Xenopus tropicalis: one gene and its partner. The protein of the gene in region 1 purifies or fractionates together with the protein of each later gene. This does not show direct contact. Links are inferred from orthologs where the notes say so. Each region holds a gene or a part of one and is shown on either strand. Other genes may lie near its edges.

Evidence for each region.
Region 2: the proteins of snrpf (region 1) and tut1 purify together in Homo sapiens (co-immunoprecipitation; 3 studies listed by BioGRID and IntAct, counting the BioPlex papers as one, with this or other methods). This does not show direct contact. The link is inferred for Xenopus tropicalis from reciprocal best matches to the Homo sapiens genes SNRPF and TUT1.

The regions. Positions count from the first base shown.
Region 1 is NC_030679.2:57,034,405-57,038,748, reverse strand, and holds the start of snrpf (small nuclear ribonucleoprotein F), read right to left. Parts: upstream 2,801-4,344; 5' UTR 2,673-2,800; coding exon 2,670-2,672; intron 1,801-2,669; coding exon 1,675-1,800; intron 680-1,674; coding exon 615-679; intron 1-614. UniProt on the Homo sapiens protein: Plays a role in pre-mRNA splicing as a core component of the spliceosomal U1, U2, U4 and U5 small nuclear ribonucleoproteins (snRNPs), the building blocks of the spliceosome.
Region 2 is NC_030680.2:36,812,754-36,816,322, reverse strand, and holds part of tut1 (speckle targeted PIP5K1A-regulated poly(A) polymerase), read left to right. Parts: intron 1-1,171; coding exon 1,172-2,331; 3' UTR 2,332-3,569. UniProt on the Homo sapiens protein: Poly(A) polymerase that creates the 3'-poly(A) tail of specific pre-mRNAs. Localizes to nuclear speckles together with PIP5K1A and mediates polyadenylation of a select set of mRNAs, such as HMOX1.

The DNA.
Region 1 (4,344 bases):
AAAAGGAATACAATAGTTAAACAGTTTAGCAGAGAAAAGGTAGCAGTCACATTGTTTTTCTAGAGAAGGGATACAATTCTTGCTACTAGGTAGTTATCAAGAAAAAAAAGGGCAATCTACTCACGCCTCCTTGGAGGTTGTGCTTTAAAGAGAATATTTAAAAGGACAATTTGTTGCCTTTTTAAATAATTGTTAAATTACACAGTTTAGATAAGAAACTATTTAAAAAGTACATTTTTTTTTTTTACAGAATATACTTTACATTTTTCACTGGTTCACATGTATGTATATATATTTTTATTTATAAAGCGCTACTTATGTACACAGCGCTGTACAGTAGAATACATTAATACAAATAGGGGGTTAATAAGATAATAGATAAATACAAAGTATAACAATAAATACAAATACATACAAGATACAGTTACAGTTGCAATAAGTTAAGAGTCAAAGACACAAGAGGATGGAGGTCCCTGCCCCGTAGAGCTTACAATCTATATGGCACATGCAGTTGCCTTAACATGCTGACAAGAGTTTGCTTTCTATTTCAGAAAAGCAGACATATATGCTGTAATGTGACCACCTACAAAGCATCCCCAGTGCACAATTCTTACCTTATCAAAACTTCTCCAAGATGTCCAGACAATGCACCATCAATATATTCTTCTGTGTTTGCAAGCTGCAATAATATATATAAATGAATTAACCAACAGAAAAAGCTTCTCACACATCACAGCAACCTTGGATAATGGACACTCATTACTTTCTCAACCATCATTACTATAAAAAAAAAAAACTCTGCAATACAGAAATATTAATATTAATTGTTACTTATGTTTTAAAAGCAATTAAGCTGGCTAATTGGTGCTAATGCTACTAGGGTTAGCAATGGTACTATAAAGTGTCACAACACTCTGGCAAGCACTCCAGCTAATTGCATGCAACCTTAAGCAGCACTTAAAGGAACAGTAACACCAAAAAATAAAAGAGCTTTAAAGTAATGAAAATATAATGCACTGTTGCCCTGCACTGGTAAAATTGGTGTGTTTGCTACAGTAACACTACTATAATTTATATAATAAGCTGCTGTGTAGCCACGGGGGCAGCCATTCAAGCTGGAAAAAAGGAGAAAAGGCACAGGTTACATAGCAGATAACAGATAAGTTCTGTAGAGTACAATAGTGTTTTATCTGTTATCTGCTATGTGCCTGTGCCTTTTCTCCTTTGAATGGCTGCCCCCATGGCTACACAGCAGCTTATTTATATAAATTATAGAAGACTTTCTGAAGTAAACACACAACTTTTACCAGTGCAGGGCAGCAGCACATTATATTTTAGTTAGTTTTTTACACTTTAATTTTTTGGTGTTACTGTTCCTTTAATGTATTTCATTGCCAGCAATGGGCTGCTGATGCCCAAAACCATTTTACTTGTGCAATTTCCTAGTGTTAACTAGAGACAGAGGCAATCCAATCCAAATGTCTCATACACTGCTCTAAAATGGCAACAGGAAAGCCCAGATACAATTCTGGCACAATATAAAGGGAATATAATATAAATTATATATACACATGCATACAATATATATTTTTTTTTATTAAATAATCTAATAAATTAACTTATAACAGCAAGTAACCAACTATAATATCTGACATGTTCAGTGCTATTACTTACCTGCATGTTCATGTATCCATCCACTGATACCAAGTAGCCTTTGTACTCCATCCCCCATTTCAGCTTTACCATAACTGGCTTACCAGTGAGGCCATTAAGGAAGGGTTTTGGATTCAGTGGTAAACTCTGAAAATATAATCATTTATAATATAAATATTCAATAGGTCTTGTGATTAAAACGTCAACTCATGCAATAACCTGAAGTAATCATATGCATACATTTTCAATACTATATCTCTGCCTTTATTTGTCCTCAGTTTTCTCATGCTCCCTTCCAAGAAACCAAAAGGGGACACCTGCCTAATAATGATACTTGGGGCACGGCCAGCAACAACAACCACAAATCCATATCTAATAGAAATCATCCTTTCTTTGGTAGGAGGCTATATATTATTACACTACCACAGTAAAATGAAAAAGGGGCATTTATTTATTCTTCCTGATAGTTGAAAGTGCAGTTCAATAGCTGGAGGGCCACAAGGCTGCACATCACTGCTGGCTGAGGGCAGTCACAGTACAAACAGTATAACATGCCATTTGTAGCATTACCACTTGAGATATGATAGGCAGAGGAACACATGGCCTTTAGGAAATTATCAACTCCCATGTGCCACCGCTTTAAGAACAGACGCAAACATCCCATGTTCGCGGCTCATCCCCAGTAGAGATAGTACCATCCCACGCTGCATGGCTACTTATATTTCAGCGCAGCCTACACCGCGCCTTACATACAGGCTCTTTCCGTGCAACGTGCCCTTAGCGAGTACACACGCTGCAAAGATAACACGTTACGCCTTTCCACACAGGCCTAACAATAAAGCAACCAAACAAACCCGAACCAACTGCATAACCCATTCTGTAAATCCGGCGGGATAAGCTGCTACTCGGGATAATGAACAGCCCCACACACCATGCTGCCTGCACTCCCCCCCATCCCTACACACTGACACCCCCTGTCCCGCCAGGCCTGGAACTCGCACACCTCCAGTACTTACCATGGTGCGACCGCAGCCTCACAACAAACTGCAGATCAATAAAAAAAATTCCTCCCCGGAGCGTCCCGTAGAACACACCGCTGGAGCAAAGCGGGAAATGGCTGCCAAGGCCCGGAAGCGACAGGAGAAAAGACCATAGAGAGCCGACACGCGTTGAATGGCTAACTGCTCCCTCTAGTGGCTGGAGTTGGATTTCCAACATGACTCCAACAATCGCCAGTGGAGGCGGGATTATTTCACAATGGTGTTGTATTGTACAAGGCTCACCCTCTGTGCTGACTCCGGGCCGCCTCAGTACTACTAGTACTACAGGGCCTTCCCCCAGGAACCGCAATTAGGCATTTCTAATAAATGCAAGTTGCTATACTGCGCTGACTGCAATTACAACAAATACAAACATTGCGTCCCGTCTATTTGTATTTCGTACCTTGTTTTGATTATTTGTTAACGCTATGTAATTATATTCACTATTATGCACAACAGTCCAGATTTAGAAGCCTTGATTTTCCGAGGACTTGGTGGCACTTGGAGGGTAAAATTAGAATGGGTAAAGGAATACTGTCATGAGAAAAGGTTTTTTTTCAAAATGCATCGGTTAATAGAACTTCAACAGGTTTTTTTTTATATTTAATTTTAAAAGTTCACATGGGGCTAGCCATATTCTTCATATCCCAGGGTGCTACAGCCATGTGACTGATAAACTTCAGTCACACTTTACTGCTGCGCTGCAAGTTGGAGTGATATCACCCAGGAGTACCTGATTCCACAGGTAGAAAGAAAACCATGATAGTTTTCTCTGTGCTCTTTAGCACATTTGTCTCCCAATGTAATGCAAGCTGTCCCCCTTTATACCAGAATCTGTGCGCTTTTTACAAAGAAAGAAAAAGTGAGAGAGGGGTTGCATTACACTGTGACCCTAAGTGGGTTGCATACCCCCCAACTGTCCCGCTTTTCGCAGGACAGTCCCGGTTTTTACAGCGCATCCCGCTGTCCCGGATTGTTCAATGAATGTCCCGCATTACGGAAATGCAGAACATTCATTAAACTATCCAGGCCAGCGGGATGCGCTGACTGCAGCCAGCACTCCGGCTCCGTCTCGTCCTGTGGCTCCTGCTTCTTATTCGGCTCCTCGTACGGCGGCGACAGGCCCTTTTATAAGGTTGCGCCCATGCGTACGTGTGATGTCACACGTACGCACGGGGCGCAACCTTATAAAAGGTCCTGTCGCCGCCGTAGAAGGAGCCGCATAAGGAGCAGGAGCCACAAGAAGCAGCGTCAATGGGGGGCACTGTGTATGGGGGGCATTTTCTATTGGAGGTACTCTCTATGGGGGCAATTGGGGGCTACTGTGTATGGGGGGTGTTTTCTATTGGGGGTACTCTCTATGGGAGCAATTGGGGGTACTCTCTATGGGGGCAATTTTCTATTGGGGGTACTCTCTATGGGGCAATTGGGGGCTACTGTGTATGGGGACATTTTCTATTGGGGGTACTCTCCATGGGGGCAATTGGGGGCTACTGTGTATGGGGGGCTACTGTGTATGGGAGGATACTGTATGGGGGGCTACTGTGTATGGGAGGAAATGTGTATGGGGGCAATTGGGGACACTTTCTGTGGGGGCATTGTGTATGGAGGGTACTTTCTATGAGGGCACGGTCTATGGGGGCGTATGGGG
Region 2 (3,569 bases), on another chromosome or scaffold:
CCATCTTAAATTCCAGATTCCCATTTTTATATATTTATGATAATATATACTTAATGTGGAACAAACCCTAAAAATATGAATTTCTCTAAGAGTAGTGCTCTGAGTACTTTTCCAATTTGCATTAATTTCCTATTGAAAGTGGTTTCTAATATAATAGCAGTTTTAAACAATTTTATACAGCTAGGCCGGCTTTTGGCTCAGCAGCTTTTTAAAGGCTCAGAGTGTCAGCAACCCTAATATCTTTGCACTTTCTGTGTACTTAAAGGAACAGTAACACTAAAAAATAAAAATGTTTTAAAATAATTAAAATATAATGTACTGTTGCCCTGCACTGGTAAAAGTTGTGTGTTTTCTTCATAAACACTACTACAGTTTATATAAATACCCTGCTGTGTAGCCATGGGGGCAGCCATTTAAATTGAAAAAAGGAGAAAAGGCACAGGTTACATAAGAAGATAACAGATAAACTGTGTAGAATACAATAGGAATCTACTTATCTGTTATCTGCTTAGTAACCTGTGCCTTTTCTCCTTTTTTCAATTTAAATGGCTGCCCCCTATGGCTACACAGCAGGGTATTTATATAAACTGTAGTAGTGTTTATGAAGAAAACACACAACTTTTAACAGTGCAGAGCAATAGTATATATTAATTATTTTTATACACTTTCATTTTTTGGTGTTACTGTTCCTTTAAGTTAACCCTTTGTTGACTCAGTTGAGCCAAGTTAATTAGAATAGTCAAATCTGGAGCATGGAATGAACTGGAAAAATAAAATGAATTGAAAAGAGCAGTGTTGAGAAACAAGTTGAAGGCATGTAATGTATGTGTCACTTTATTTGGTGCTATTGTATTTACATAGTCTACATGTGCTAGATTCTTGAGACCAGATGTCTAGAAAATGCAGATAAACACAGCATCCATTCTCAGAAGTGGTTTTAGTGTGAGAATCAGACCAAAATACAGAGCACAAGACTTTTCGTGTAAAGTCGGGTGGTAGGAGGTAATGCTGTAATGGGACTGTAAAAGGCTCATTTTACAATTATGTTGTATTCATGATTTAGTGCAGGTAGAAATGATCATGCCATGATCTGTTACAATATGTGTGATTTATGATATGCAGAATCCTGTATAATGCAATCATTTATCTCATCCCTTTTATTCATCCTTAGGTTCTCTTCTCTCCGAGTTCTTCTCTTTCTACGCTTCTTTGGACCTGCATCTGCTCATCCTCTGTCCATGCAATGGTTTGACCATTCCACTTCCATTCTCCTCTCCACCACCTGCCTGGTCAGAAGGTTTCCGTTTGGGACCACTCAATATCCAAGATCCATTTGAACTGAGTCACAATGTCTGTGGCAATGTCAGCTCTCGTGCAGCTCGCCGCTTCATCTCTCACTGTGCAGCTGCTGCCAGGATCTGCCGTACCCCCAATTACAACTTGCATTCTACCTCCCATCCATGGGGGATCACTCCAATTCTCTTACCTCCACCCACTGAGAGAGAGTGTGTTGGGAGAGGAGGAACTGAAATCTCAATACCTCTGGGAGGTGTTTCACCTGAAAAAACATATGCAGCTGTGAGTAAGGTCTTTGTGGATGTACTGTTGTGTACACTGGAAGAAGGCAGAGAAGACAGCTGTCAAGAAGGGAAAGCTTTGGAATTAAGCACAAAACACGCAAAGGCTCAGTGTAAAGTAGAGAAGAATGAAGTAGGGGGGGAATTAGGGGAACAAGAGGTGCCATGCAAAGCTGAGCAAAATAATACTAAAGAAGCTTCCAAGCAAAAAAGCATCTTTAAAACCGAGGAGGGGATGACTGAATCAGCCAGGAGAAAACGAGAAATGACAGAGCCATGCATGAGTGATATGACCAATGGTAAAAAGAGAAGACTAGAATTTACTAGAGGCATTTGGGATCATCACCTAGCTACATCTGCCATGGAAGAAGAAATGTGTGGGGAAGCACATAAAGATTCCAAAACAAAGATAGACTACTCTAACAATGGCACTGCACAATGGGAGTTGCTAGTGTGGCACCGAGTGTGGGAAGGCAGGCGCAAGGAAAGGAGGCGCAAGCAGAAAGGGGAAGCCGATGGTGTAGAGCTGGAGATTGCTGTGTCTCAAGCACTGGCTCTGGAAAAAGAGGACAAATGTGATGGGCCGCTGATGAAATTAATACTTACAGCTCAACTGACTGTTAAAGAATCTTTGCAGCTTTATCTGACACCAAAATTTGACCCCCAGGGCCTTAGCTCCACATTCTTTCACTTCTTAGAGGGTTATCTACCTCGCATGGTGGCACAAATTCAAGGTTGTGGGGACCCAGTGTAAGGATATTCAATAATGAGAAAAAAAAAAAAACAGTTTTAAGGGGAAACTTGTATTGGGCATTAGCTTATAATAAGCTGTGGGTAATGGTAAATATCCATTTACATCTTAGTATTTTTATTTGTTTAATCTGTCCTTCAGTTGTACCTGCTTAACACTGACCCTTGACAAGTCAATACACATAGAGGTTATGTACATACTAGCGTGCCAAGAGCTACGGTGGCATATATTATAGGCTAGCTACTATTTCATCTACAGGCAAATTAGTTGCATGATAGATGCAAACATGGAAGTGGCTTCTACAGATGTGTAACATAGGGCATACCACCTACAGTGAAACTATCTGCCACATGGCTTTTATAATTGGCCAGATCTCGATCGGCCAGGTTAGAAAATCCAGTCGGATCGGGGACCGCATCGGCTCGTTGATGCGGTCCCCGAACCGACTGCCCCATAAGCTCAAATGTAATCCGATCGTTTGGCCCCAGGGCCAAACAATCTGATCATTTTTTTTTTTTTTAAGTCCCTTGCTACCCAATATCACCCACCCGTAGGTGGGGATATCGGGTAAAGATCCGCTCGCTTGGCGACATCGCCAAGCGAGCAGATCTTAGTGTATGGGTACCTTAAGGATGGAAGAAGAAAGTGCAAAGGTAAGGTGCATTGTGCAGTGTTTATATTTCCTTTTTCCTGCAGTGCTCAGCTAGTTAGTCAGCTCTGCAGCCAACCTCTGCAGAAAGTACCTCTTCTGTCTTTGACCATTACATAGGAATAAATTATCTAGGTATAGGATCTGCAAGGTAAGGGCTAAGAGGTATAGACAAAACTTTAGCAGTAACTATTATAGAAATGTTAATTTAATAATTTTAATTAGCTCTGTTCAATTACCCTTTACACATTCTGGAATGGGATTAGCATCACATTTTTCCACCAGGAGAAAACTAAAAGGAAGAGAGTTTGTATATTCCCATGCTTATATCCATAGCTTATTTGTTACAAACACCTGAGTGCACAATGGTTTACTCATGGGGGTTATTTATAAATACTGGGCAAATTTGCACCCAAGCAGTAACCCACTGGAAACCAATCAGATGTTTGCTTTAATTGTTCTACTTACCACTGCCTGGAAAAAAGCTAATTACTAATTGGTTGCTATGGGCTACTGCCCAGGTGCAAATTTGCGCAGTGTTTATAAATGAGCCCAACTCAGTGACTGTAAAAGAATGCACTTTGAGCTGACA